Oryzias latipes: one gene and its partners. The protein of the gene in region 3 interacts with the protein of the main gene of each other region in a pairwise test. Links are inferred from orthologs where the notes say so. Each region holds a gene or a part of one and is shown on either strand. Other genes may lie near its edges.

The links. The genes of interacting proteins can lie anywhere in the genome.
Region 1: the proteins of psme3 (region 3) and eaf1 interact in binary tests that used the Homo sapiens proteins (3 or more experiments, as listed by UniProt). The two-hybrid records come from large-scale screens. The link is inferred for Oryzias latipes from reciprocal best matches to the Homo sapiens genes PSME3 and EAF1.
Region 2: the proteins of psme3 (region 3) and prr13 interact in binary tests that used the Homo sapiens proteins (3 or more experiments, as listed by UniProt). The two-hybrid records come from large-scale screens. The link is inferred for Oryzias latipes from reciprocal best matches to the Homo sapiens genes PSME3 and PRR13.

What each region holds. Positions count from the first base shown.
Region 1 is NC_019874.2:26,172,593-26,176,879, forward strand, and holds the start of eaf1 (ELL-associated factor 1), read right to left. Parts: upstream 2,933-4,287; 5' UTR 2,787-2,932; coding exon 2,684-2,786; intron 1,335-2,683; coding exon 1,240-1,334; intron 905-1,239; coding exon 768-904; intron 641-767; coding exon 468-640; intron 309-467; coding exon 87-308; intron 1-86. Other genes in the region: mettl6 (methyltransferase-like protein 6), read left to right, coding at 3,382-3,654, 4,048-4,182. UniProt on the Homo sapiens protein: Acts as a transcriptional transactivator of ELL and ELL2 elongation activities.
Region 2 is NC_019863.2:10,423,500-10,428,039, reverse strand, and holds the start of prr13 (proline-rich protein 13), read left to right. Parts: upstream 1-1,608; 5' UTR 1,609-1,733; intron 1,734-3,104; 5' UTR 3,105-3,157; coding exon 3,158-3,173; intron 3,174-3,251; coding exon 3,252-3,790; intron 3,791-4,540. UniProt on the Homo sapiens protein: Negatively regulates TSP1 expression at the level of transcription. This down-regulation was shown to reduce taxane-induced apoptosis.
Region 3 is NC_019877.2:17,757,761-17,762,307, reverse strand, and holds the start of psme3 (proteasome activator complex subunit 3), read left to right. Parts: upstream 1-1,733; 5' UTR 1,734-1,852; coding exon 1,853-1,894; intron 1,895-2,860; coding exon 2,861-2,893; intron 2,894-3,003; coding exon 3,004-3,066; intron 3,067-3,212; coding exon 3,213-3,317; intron 3,318-3,398; coding exon 3,399-3,447; intron 3,448-3,529; coding exon 3,530-3,648; intron 3,649-3,807; coding exon 3,808-3,944; intron 3,945-4,058; coding exon 4,059-4,113; intron 4,114-4,547. UniProt on the Homo sapiens protein: Subunit of the 11S REG-gamma (also called PA28-gamma) proteasome regulator, a doughnut-shaped homoheptamer which associates with the proteasome. 11S REG-gamma activates the trypsin-like catalytic subunit of the proteasome but inhibits the chymotrypsin-like and postglutamyl-preferring (PGPH) subunits.

The DNA.
Region 1 (4,287 bases), on a different chromosome or scaffold from region 3:
AATGTGGTAGGTTTGAAACCCCAAAGACGATGTCACGTGGGAATAACTTTGAATCTTAAATCAAAGCCTAGTCCTGAAGTACTCACGAAGTGTGTTCATGAGCTGGTTGTTGCCCTGCTGGCGCTCCATCCCTCCGTTGGCCATGGGGTTGCGGCTGGGGGAGTTCTGGCTGAGCGGCCGGGGAGCATCGCCCTCGCCGTCGCTGCTGCTGCTGTCGTCGCCGCTCCCCGAGGAGCTGGCTGAGTCTGAGGAGCTGCTGCTGCCGCTGCTGCTCATCTGTTCAATCATCTCCACCTCTGCCCGCAGCTCTGTCGACAGCAGCAAGATCAGCATTTCATATTTCAAGGTCTTGTCTTTTTTTGTACTCACATTTGTCCAAATGTTTTTCATTCTTTGTCATCTTTAGCAGGGTTTTTTCTGAGAAATCATGACTTTGTAAAACACCAACAGTGCAGGAACCTCCTCACCTCTCTTAATGTCGTCCAGCTGAGGCTCTGGAGAGGGGTTGTCCTTAGATGGGGATGGGGATGTTTTGATCCCAGTTCCCGGCTTGGTTGGGGCTCGGAACTGAGAGCCGGGCTGGCTGGAACGAACCGACTGCTGCTCAATCCGAGCCTGGATCTTACTGCTGCCCTCCGCTCTGTTCGCACAGATACATACATCAGCCAACTTTTCCTCATCTTGAGCAATTTAAAGATCTTATAGACAATACACATCTACTACCCAAAGTCAGCAGGACTCTGGAAACCAGGACACTGACATCCCACCTTGTTTTCTTAACCTGGATGCTGCTGCTGAGCTTCTCCAGTACAAATTCGCCCGTGTCATGATTAATGATGAGCACGCAATCCTTTTGATACGGTCGCTTGTTTCCTTTAAATACTGTCATTGGAGGTGTGGAGCCCTGAAAGACAAAGAACAGGTAGTTGCAGTTTTATGTATTTAAAGCTTGGAAAAGGGCCCTTTTAGAAGGTTACATCAAAATCAAAAAAACTACATCATCTTGTTCAAGAGCAGTGTTATAGTGAAGATAAACAGACTTTTTCAGTCACAATTCTAGGATACATTCAGAACATAATTTTTTTAGACACATGATTGCTTAGATTTTTTGACTGCACTGTGACTGATCAAAACAGCTGTCAGACCTTTTTGTGACAGAAAACATGAGTCAGCAGAGATCAGGCAGATCATGATGTGCATGCATCTCTGACCAGATTGTTAAAAAGAGGAAAGCCTTACTGGAATATGAGGTAACGTTATTGTAACTTCATCTCCTTTTCCGACCTGTAGCTTCCCTTCACAGCTGGTGTCAATCGATGCTGGTTTGAAGTCATCTGGAAATGAAATGTATCGAGTCAAATTTGTGTTCTCCCTGATTGCCTATTTTTTTATTTAGAGGGAAACACCGTGAACTGGCATTCACACATATATGGAATTATAATTACAGTTGGAGAATAACTACCTGGAAGGGAAAAACAACCAAAATACAAAAAAGCAATTACAGTAATTTCATACTAGCATAAGATGAAAAAAATAATGTGGGTTGTTTTCCCTGGCTGCATTTGTAATTCTATCAACTATAATAAATGAGATAAAATGCTAATTTAATACAGATAATTTTTTGTTCTGTACAAAACAAATTGAATATGTTTTATAACACTATAAATCAATTGCATTCAAAGTTTGAATTTAACATGACCACTTTCTCCGGAGAATGCCCCAAGGTGACTTTTACTGAGATCTAAAAGTGAACTAATGAGTAAATGGAATACTGTGACGCGGGGAGGTCAGTGTTTAAAATAGGACATCACATGCATCATAAAACCCTTTTACTACAACAGCTCTGTAACACGGATGGTTTCTCTCCCAAGTCCAGCCAAAGTCTATTTTGACACACAAGTTCAAAATACAACACAGGCTTTGACTCAAAGCAATTGAATCGTTTCTTTTTTTTGCATTTCTATTTTAATTTTTGTTTACATTTTTCAAACTGTCTTCACATAACTGGTCATGGAAACAATATGATTGAACCTGAGTGAATAACAGTATGAATTTTTTTAATAAAAGTAAACAGAAAAGCTTTTTAGTGTAAATAAAATGCAATTCCAAGCCTAGGCGTCACAATAAAAGTGTTTTGGTATCAATAATAAATCCTATATTGTGAAACATCTACTTCAAACATCTACTTCAATAAAGCAACACGAATCCTCTGAGAAAAACTGGATATCTCTAAATACCACACTGAACAAGAAACACGATGAAGACTATAAACCGTTGTCCCTGCATCCAGTTGTTTTATTCAGCATTTATGCCCCAACAATCCAGATTGTGTTTATTACAACAGATAGGATCTGCATTTTATTTTGAAGGAGAATTTCAATTGCCACTCCATGTGGAGCTGGAGGCTAAAAAATGAGTCCTGGTTGGAGGCAAATATAAAAAACTTGTTTCTCACAAAAAATTAGATAAACTTTGGTGTAGTAAAATAAGTATTGGGTAGTTAATAGCATAAAGTGTAAAAGCTCAACCAAAAAAACAAACTGCTTTTATCTTCAAATGACTGAAAAGTATTGAAGAGAGTCTTGGAGAGAGAGCCTCTACATTTACAGCAGATAACCAGCCGCACTCCAGAGTTTGTTAAGAACTTAAAGGTCTTGTAAACACAACGCGGTCTCACGCTCACATCGGATGGTGTGAAAGGAAGATTTTGGCCTCTTCTCAAAGCTTTCTCCGAGCTTCAAAACATGCTCCTCTTTGTCCAGCAGCGGGTTTGTACTACCGTTCATGGTTCAGTTTGTCTAAAAGTCTAACATTTACGTATATTGGTAATAAGAAGTGAGCTAACAGTCGCAACTGGGAAGAAACAGGATAATCCAACTGGAAGATAAAACTAGCTGCAGAAGCTAACAGTTAGCAAAACATCCCTGACGTCACTGTGCTCTCTTTTGATTTTGGTTCGACTATGAACTACCTCTAAGATCAGACGGCGGCAAAAACTGTGATAAAACTTGGTTGTCTTATTAAATGATAATTTGCATTTAGATTAGTTTTTTATCAAACAGAATTATTTTAGTACATTTTAGTTTCATAAACAATTTATATAAAAAGCCAGATGGCAACGCGGAATGCAATTACGTGCACTCATCGGAAGGATTTCGTGAACGTACACAACAGAGGAAATGAAAAGAATTGTTTGAAATTGAAGTAGGGTTTTTTATTGTAGATTTAGCTTATTCAACCTTTTATTTTATATTGTTTTATTGAAAACGTAATAAACTGCATAAATGTTCAGGAATAACAACTGAAAATGTCGTAAATTAATGACTTTGTACAAAGAAAGACGGAAAAAAATCTCCAAAAACTTTAAAGCAGCGTGGAAATATGATGAACCGAGCCGAAGATACCGAGTCTACGGACGACACACCAACATGCCTGTCCGGACAAACGAAAACATCTTCCTCCAGAGATTTAACCCAGGAGGAGCAGGGTAGATTCAAAACTGAGCGAGTTCTTGTATCTGAGTTCAAACAAATAAAACTGGAGAAAGAAGCTCGAAAAAACTGGGACTTGTTTTACAAAAGAAACGCCACAAATTTCTTCAAAGACAGACACTGGACAACCAGGGAATTTGAAGAACTCAAAGAGTGTCGTGAGGTAAGATTACTTTTATACATGGACTTACCAGTCTTCATCTGTTTCTATTTCTTGTTTTATACTCACAAAATAAATAATCTTCTATTTAACATGTAGAACATTCTATCTATCAAATAGGGATTTCTTTCTTCTTCTTCAGATTATTTATAAATGTTAAATTATCTAGTAATTACGCCATTTTTTAAAACCCTAAATCATATATTAATTAATAAATTAAAATATATTAATATGAATAATATATTCACATTAATTACTTAAATGTAATATTAAAATATTAAACTATACTCTATTTATGCTTCTTTAAAGTTTAAGATGCTGAAAAATATTGTAGGTCAGATGGCCAAACAAGCTTATTAAACTAATGTCCAGTTATTCTTGTGCTTTGCTTCACAGTTTGAGTCCCAGAAGTTGGTTTTGTTGGAAGCTGGCTGCGGCGTGGGAAACTGCCTCTTTCCTTTGCTGGAGGACGACCTCAACATATTTGTTTACGCCTGTGACTTCTCCCCACGAGCTGTTGAGTTTGTAAAAGTGAGGCATTTCCCACAACAACTTTGTTCTTATTATAATGTCTTTATAAGCCTTGTCCTATATTTTCTTCCCTTTTTTCCTCCTTTATATTGCTTCATTTTAGAA
Region 2 (4,540 bases), on a different chromosome or scaffold from region 3:
ACTCTGTTAAGGTTTAAATATTGTAAAAAATTAAAAAGCTACTACAGGCTGCATAAAAGTGTATTTTTATAAAAGGAGTAGTAAGATTTTGTGGCTCTAACTCGTTTATTTTTCAGTAAGAAACTGGACCAAATGGTTCTTTTAGAGGTTGCAGACCCCTGATTTAGCTTTTGTGTTAATAACATAATTCAAAGTATACATACACACAGTATATGCTCTCCATAAATATTTACAATGAATCCATATCAGACATCTTGTCCACACATGTCAAATGAAACTATAATTGATATTTCCAAAATAATATGAACTCAATTATTGGTGGAAAATCTGAATTTGAATTATTCTGATCCAAATCTAGGCCCATCAATCCTCCCTGTGATTATTTCCAGGATTAAATGAATAAACTCCAGGCTAGTCTTAAAAGCAAATAACTATAAAAAGAGCCAAATCAGCCAATCTTTTGAACGTCCCTTCCAAGTGAACTGATTCAAAAGATTCAGCTCCCTAAAAAGAGCCATAAATCCCAAATGTGAGGTAGAGAAAATTTTCCTTAAAAAAAGTGTGTGTGTGTGTGTGTGGGTGTGTGTGTGTGTGTGTGGGGGGGGGGTTGATTGAACAGCGGAAGAAAAAGGTGGGTTTGTGGCGAGTACTTGAAAGTCATTTAGGAAGAACGCTGTACTTCAAAGTCCTTATTTGTGATTTTGCATATGAGAAGGCTCGACATTTGGCTTTGAGTAAACAAAGTTGAGCAAGTTAAAAGGTTTGAAAAAGAAGCTTGACTTACTAATTTGCTATTCATTCACGAGTTAAGTTTTATTTAAATGATAAATCACATATGGTTTGATGGTGCTTTCATTTAGCTGACTTTTTTTTAATCTCCACTGATAATATTGTTTTTTTCATGAAGAAGTTTATTTCTTATTTAAGAATCAGTTTTGCTGTGAATATATGAAACACAAGAAATTCTATTGTATTCGGAGTTCTCACTTCATAACTGTCTCTCACCAAATTGTTTTACTAAATATATAAAAACAAACAAAAAAACAAACAAACAAAAAGATCATGAAAATTGTGTAAACCTGATAAAAGTGAATTCAGTTTGGCTGATACAGTCTTGTTATTATATCATGGGCACAATGACTCATTGTTGTGTTTTGATGACCAAATGGAAAGCAGACAGTAATGGAAAAAAATAACTGCCAGTTATTTGTGGCATAGTGGTACAATTTCATACAAGTTTTATTTAAAAATTTGGTTAATACTGAATTTAAAAAGGGGTTTGGTTATTGTATTTCATTAATAGCACGATATTTTATTATTAGGTCTATAAAACTCATTTTGATGCAAAATTATGAAAGTCCGTCTGTAAATACTGTTTTGTTCAATAAAAAATCCTGCTATGAGCTTGAGCAAAAGTTAATTGTTAAACTTTTCTTTAAATAAAAAGAATTACAGTGGATCCATGATGTAATGGACATTTTCAGATAAAATCATTTCCATTATGGTCGTATTTCCTTTGGACACACCCTGTGGTGACAAACTCCGTCTTTTGTGATTGTGACATTGAAAGTATTAAATGAGCTTTCAACGTGGGCACAATACTGTGCATTCTTGATCGGAGGTGGGCGTGGCTTCCAGGCGCAGTCTCAGTTAACTGCAGAGCTCAACGCGGAAGACAACAAGAAGCTCCGGGTTTCTAAGTGACGTCGAACAAGCAGAGGCAAGTTACTCAGGTAAGCTTTTGGAACCTGGCATTTTGTTATAGGCAGTGCGACAGATGTTGACAGTAGATAATTCGGAAATATCTCGTGTTTTAAATGCAGGATATTCGGTAAGAGGCCGAACTTTGCGTGAATTTCTTAGCCGAAGAAAAATTCCTCGAGGGGTTCGTTTTGCGACATCTAGGCCTGCTTTGTGGCAGGCGGAGAAATAATGCAGGTCCAGTGTAGATTTAATAGATGTATTAAAATGGACTTAAAATAAACAAATAACTGCGTCAAGATACTTTAAACATCAATGTTAGCTGTTTTACTTTCTTTTTGTTGTTTTGTGTGTCAGTGATGTTTAGATTTCAGTTTTTATAGACTTTTGGGCAACTTCTCAAGCTTGTTTAATGATCTCATTCTACCAATCTTGTGTTGTGGTTAAATAATTCTATTATTTGTGTTTATTTCTTCCATTGATGTAAAATATAAGATTGCAGTCTTATCATCATGGCTTTCAGAGATTTGCTCAGTTGAGCTCCCACTATTCACTTGTCCAACAGCTGTAGATTACCCTTTATTTCCCAACTGTTACGTTTAACACAAACTGGTTTTTGAAAGATAAAAATATGAAGAATTTCTTGTTGAAAATTGTTGGTTCCCTGGATTCGAACATACAGATCATGTTTCCACACTGAGGTGTGTCCGACCTGAGGTGTGTCAAAATCACATGATGCAAATGTTGACGTTTTTTGTTTGTTTTACAGATGACTATTTTATGTGAGAACCAAACTGTCAAGAAAACAAAACAAAACCCTGCTGAATATAAACTATATCTAATCCCCACACACAAATCTGTGAAGAATCAATGGATCAAAAAATTTGGAGTTTTATTGCATATATAATAAGAAAATATATAATGAGATACTTAAAATATGATTCATATTATTACATTTCTATTCTTCCTCACTTTCATGTACATCCTAAAAGGTAATTTACAAATGTGTGTCAATTATTCTGGTTTTAAAACAAAATGCTGCAATCACATGTGACGTTTTGAGGGGGGGGGGGGGGGGGGGTCCCTCCACAACAAGTAGCATTTCCCTTGGTCTCCAACTGCGGTGCCGTTGGCTCTGTTGCAAATTTTTGTCAAAAACCGAGCTAAAATGAACTTCTCAAGACTTGTTTCTATTGTTCAAAAGATGTTGTTAAATGTAATTTATAGAATATTCAACTGTTTTTAACGGTAGGTTGGACTTGATTGAACAAAAGTAACTAAACTGAAATGGGAAATTATTTACTTCTAGGTTTTAGTTTTAATTTTTATATGATTGTAATGTTGACTTACTGCCCTTTTTAATCATATTTTTATATTGATTTTCCTTTCTGCTTGTTTGTCAGGATTCTATTGTGACACCTGATGTGTGTTTGTCATTAGGCTCTACACCAAAACCATGTGGCCAAATCAAGGTGGGATATCAAAATTCTTTATAAATGTTTGTATTACCTAATGCAATGTCAGCCACAAAATGCTTTATTTTGGATCAGGTCCTCCCCATTCAGTGCCTCCACCAAACCCAGCCTTTGCCCCTGGCTACAACCCTGCATATCCTCCTGTGCCTCCAGCAGGAGTCTTTCCTCCACAACCAGTATACCCAGCTGGTCAGTACCCAGCTGGTCAGTACCCAGCTGGTCAGTACCCAGCTGGTCAGTACCCAGCTGGTCAGTACCCAGCTGGTCAGTACCCAGCTGGTGGGAATGTCGCCATGGGACCACATGGAGCTCCAGGAATGATGCCATATGGAGCACCTGGAGCTCACCCGTATCCCATGGCTCCAGGTGGAGTTCCAGGAGTCCCACATGCTGGTGTTCATCCAGGTCACTACCCACACTCTCCAAAAGGGGGGCACCACAAAGGGGGGCACCACAAAGGGCATCATCATGGAGGAGCCATGCCAATGGGTGGAGTAGTAGCGGGTGGGGTTGCAGGAATGGGAATTGGGCTGGTTGGACATAAAGCCAATAAGAAGATGAAGAAAAAGATGAAGAAGGCTCATAAACAAAAGCATGGACACAAACATGGCAAGGTGAGGTTGTGCTTGGGTGAAAGAATGCTAGTTAATGTTTGTCTTGTATGGCGCTTCATCTCTGCCATAAAGTGAAAGGGCGTAAAGACAACTGAGCGGGTGTATTCGGAAACTGAGTGAGCAAACCTTACAACCGCGCGGGCGCAATTCTAACCGAGCGACTCCGTATTTTAAAACTGCACGCCTGCAATCCTAAATGAGCGGTGATCCCTCGCGGTCAATTTTCCTTTGCGCCCCTGCTTGGATTTACACGCTCAGTGTTAAGGCCTGTTCACACCGGGACGAATTTCGCCGGCGATTTTCGCCGACGTTTAACGCCTCGTGACTAAACAAAGGGCACCAACGAGAGTGTGCACACCGACGCGAAAAAACGCCACGCGTTAAAGCGTCAAAAAAAAAAAACGCCTTGGGTTCGTTTTTTTTTTCGACGCGTCGCGTCGAAATCTACTCGACCAATGAGAATGGCGCTTTTGCTCACGTGTCTGGAGCTTCTGAAGTTACAGTAAAACACAACTTGGGGGCGCTCAAACACAAAACTGCCTTGCTGAGCACACATACCAGCGAAGAAGATAGACGCCAAGTAGCGTCTACACAGCCGCGAAGCAATAATGACGGACATTCTAAAATATCCCCGAACCAAGCACCAGTTGGAGCTACTGGTGCTTGAAATATTCATGTTTTCTTTGTTTGATTCTGACAAGCGCGTAAATACTTGCTCTCTTCTTTTGAGTGAAAAGCGACTTTAAGAAG
Region 3 (4,547 bases):
TATCCGGCATGCTCTACGCTCTCTCCCAGGAGCCCCTCCTCCATGAGATCTGTGCAAGTCTTGAAGGTTTGTGTTTTCCTGGTTTCAGTGGAAACATTTTTTTATCAGTTTATGCTGATGGTGTTATTGTTTTTGTGAAACATCAGGCTGATGTGAATGTACTGCTGCACACAATACCTGCTTTTTGTAAATTGTCATCTGCCAGGGTTAACTGGCACAAGCCTGAAGCCCTTGCCGTGGGAAGGTGGCAGGACGGTCTCCGGGCTCTCCCTTCAAATGTCATGTGGAAGAATGATGGTGTAAAGTGCCTGGACGTTTTTCTGGATGGTCCTGCCATGGTCAAAAAGAACTGGGAGGATGTTTTCAACAAACTGGAGGGGAAGATGCAGCTAATCAACTTCTTTTGGGACAGTCTACACTGGGCGCCACAAGGAATGTTTTTCTACCTAGGGAGAAGGGGGGACAGGGCCTAGTGCACCTGGTCAGCAGTACTGCCACCTCCAGGATCCAGGTCCTGCAAAGGTTTTTGACTGGGCCAATGAATTTGATGTGGAGGGAACTGGCTAGCTGCATATTAAAATGTGTGAGCTGTCTGAGGGTGGATGTCACTGTTTTTAATGGACACCAAGCTTTTAAATTTACGTAGGTTGCCTCCCTTTTATCAGGGTGTTTTTAAGTCTTGGCACCTTTTTAATGTTGTGAAACAAAAAAAAAAAAAAACTCTCCCTCTCTGTTTTGGCTCTTGAAGGAGCCTTTGATCTTTGGGGCGGGGTTAGACATTTGTGATGACCTGCCCGCCCCTGGACTTCAGGGTCTGGAGTTCTGACTTTGGAACAGCTAGTGACTGCAAAAGGTCACAATGCATTGCGTTTGAACAACTTCTGAAAAGCAGATGTATTTAAATGTATGTTATAAAATAAATTTTAACGTTTTCATCTTCAGAACACAGTGGATTTATAAATGGTTGTCGCAAAATGCTCATATCAATGAGATTTTCACATTGTGAAATCGATTACATCATATACGCCGTTTAAAAAAAGAGTGAGTATGGTGTCCGAATTGCTTTTAAAATCCAGGGCTCTACTTAGTCGTGCACTATATCGTTTTTTAGTAGTCAGGGATAAGGGTGGATCTGGACACAGCCACCGATTTTTGCTTCCGGAGTGGAATTCCGTCTGCTATTTATTTTTCTGCAGCTAGGTACTGGAAAATTAACAAATCTTCCACCACCACATTAATGAACTTTTTTCACCTAGACACAGGCCAATGTATTTGTTAGGTATGAAGAGATAACAGAATTACAGGGAAAATAGAACATTAGTTATTAAAGATTATCAATATCATTTTATTATAGAGGATATTCTTAACAAGTTGGTATTTTTTTATTTTTAAAAATTTCTCTATATTTTAACATATTGACGTTTTTCTCAAATTCTGGTTGCATCTCCAAAGTAAAATGAAATTGCCAATACTTGTTTTCAACAATTTGATTATACTGTTGTACGCAATGTTTGGTAATATTATATACAATACATATTTGTGCGCATAAAAGGCACAATTCCCGTTATTGTTGCTAAGACTTTTCTAAATATTTTTATATAATAATAATAACAACAACATCAACAATAATGATAATCCTGAAGTAAAAATAAAAAGATGGATTCCAAAACTTTGAAGATTTACATTTGTAAAAACGGTTTATCAATAAAGATTTTGGCGGAAAAAGTGCAACTGTCGCGTAATTACGTCATCTTTAAGCTACACAAGTGTGGCTGACAGCAAGAAGCCACACGTTTACAGGAGACTTTATTGTTGCTGGGATAAACGTCCTATCTACATTTGATCCCAGAAGATGTCTTCACTCCTCAAAGTGGACAGTGAAATTAAAACCAAGGTGATGTTTGTCTGAACGGCCCCTGCGCGTGTTATTGTGGGAATTAGCCTGCTAGCATTTTGCGGCATGTTGTGGAGTCTTTGGTTAGCTTTAGCGCTAGCTAGCAATGTCTAACCGGTATGTTTCCCGCCTGCTGCAATTTATCTGTCAAAACTTATCACAGGTGCTGCGACAGACTGGTAAAATGCTTCAAATGGGTGGAATTAAACGTCTTATTGCGTGCTTGTTATGTTTAATTGATAGTTTGAGACAGAAGACCACATGTCAGGAAGGCCTTAGCCTCCACTGTGGCTAAGCTACAACCGACCCACCGGCGTCATCATGCTACAACTTTATATCGACTCCTTGTTGCCCTGATCAGTATTTAAACTAACTTTAAAGAGCGTGTCGTTTATCAAATTTAAGCAAATGAAAAAAATGCGAACTACGGAGAGACTTATTCATTTAGAGACTCTAATAATATAATAGTTCCCTAAAGAAATAACTACAATAAGTTTAGGTTTAAAAAAAAGGTTTAGTCTGTGTTGGTGCACATGAATATAAACCTTTTATAAGTAATATTTATGGTTTATTTCTGTAGCTTTTATATGTACGTTTCTATCTATGATAGCAAGATTAAAGAAACATGTGCTTTTTAGATTATGTTAAATCTGTTTTATTTTACTGAAATATTGATTCTTTTTTCTTCTTAAAACTGCTTTGATCATATAAAAGTATGTAGTTAATCAAAAGTTGATCTTACTTGCATTCTTTAATCTTAAAAATAATAATAGTAAAATAATCTATCGTTATTTTACTGTAAATTTTATCCATAACATAATTAAACTTTGAAGAATGAAAATCGATTATGGCTGTGTTTTATTTTTTCAACTAACCTTATAGTAGAAAATAAATTCTCACTGAGAAACACATGTTCGTGGGATGTACTGATGCTGAACTTTTGTCTAAATATTTATTATTTTACAGGTTGATGCATTCAGGGAACGGATCACAGCAGAAGTGAGATTTGCATTTGGAATACTTTTTTTTCTATTTTTTTTTTATTTAAACCCCCTTTTTTAAAGAACAGTATTAGTATTAAAGTTTTTTTCTATTTGCTTCTCTCTTAGGCAGAGGATCTAGTTGCAAATTTCTTTCCAAAGAAATTACTGGAACTTGATTCTTTTCTTAAGGTATGTTTTATCCTTTGTAATCTTAGTTGTTCAGTATGAAACTTTCTTTAACTACAGTTTTGACTCTAACTACTGTTGGCACAGTAAAAAAAAAAAAAAGTGTAATCTGATTACAAAAAAAGAACAAATTTGGTTCCCCCCCCCAGGATCCAAGCATAAACATTGTTGAGCTGAAAGACATACACTCAGAGATTAACCTGACAGTACCCGACCCCATCCTAATCCCAAACCTTCACGACGGACTGGAGGCAGTGAGTTGTGGATTTTTACAGCACTTCCTTTTAACTAATTTGTGTAGAAAAACTTCTAATTTTGGGGAATCTTTTCCACAGCAAAACGCCAAAAAGAGGAAGCTTGAGGATGGGAGTGGAGAGGACAAAAGTAAGGACTGTTTTCATTTTCAAACTCATGTCAGAGTGGACTGTGTGCCTGGTAACTAACTTAACTTTCTTTTATTTCCAAGTGACCGGAACCAAAGTCTTTGTCATGCCTGGTGGAATGATGAAGAGCAATGGGAATCTTGTTGATCTCATAGAAAAGGTCAAGCCGGAGATCAGGACGCTCATAGAGAAATGTAACACAGTAAGTTGCCTTTGCATGTATTAATGTCTTAACGCTTAAATGTCTACAGGCACCTCTGCATTGGCCCTGATCTGAAGTCTTATGATAAAAAACTGGGTGAAAAAATGTTGGCAACCCACATTTTTTGTTTTTGTCTTTTCCTCTAAATTCAATCTTCAGGTCAAAATGTGGGTTCAGCTGCTCATCCCAAGGATAGAGGATGGCAACAACTTTGGAGTCTCAATTCAGGAGGAGACAGTAGCCGAACTCCGAACAGTTGAAGGAGAGGCAGCCTCTTACCTCGACCAAATATCGAGGTAAATCAAACACTTTAGAGAGCAAAATACGAACTTTGTAGCATCAGTGCTTAGTTGTTTTGGTTTTTTTGGTCATGTTTTGATTGAATATGTTCTTTTATTCTCATTTTCTAGGTACTACATAACGAGAGCAAAGCTGGTTTCAAAAATAGCAAAATATCCGCATGTGGTAAGTAAATGTCCTTCAGTAGGGATGTGGATGAAAATGGTTTGGTATTTTGTTCCTGTTGCTGTAAAAAAATGGATGCTTTTAGAAGCATTTCAAAATAGTCATTGGAAAGCTAGGGATTAATAATTAATTTCTGTAACTAGCTGTTTAAAAAAAATATTGATTTGGAAAAACACCCTTCACTAAAAACTGAACATGTTCCTGTAATTTTTTTGAGCAATTTGTTACAAGCTACTTATTAAGAATGTATCAGGAGTTTTGCACTGAAGCTCAGAGGAAGATAGGGTTATTGATAAAAAAACAAACAGATTTGCACCGCACAGATCAGTAGTTTCTAAATAACAGAAATGCATAATTGAGAAAAGTAGTGATGGAGTGAGGAAGTTCTGGTGCTCCTTTTTAACTAAATAGAAAAAAATTAAAATGCTTTTAAA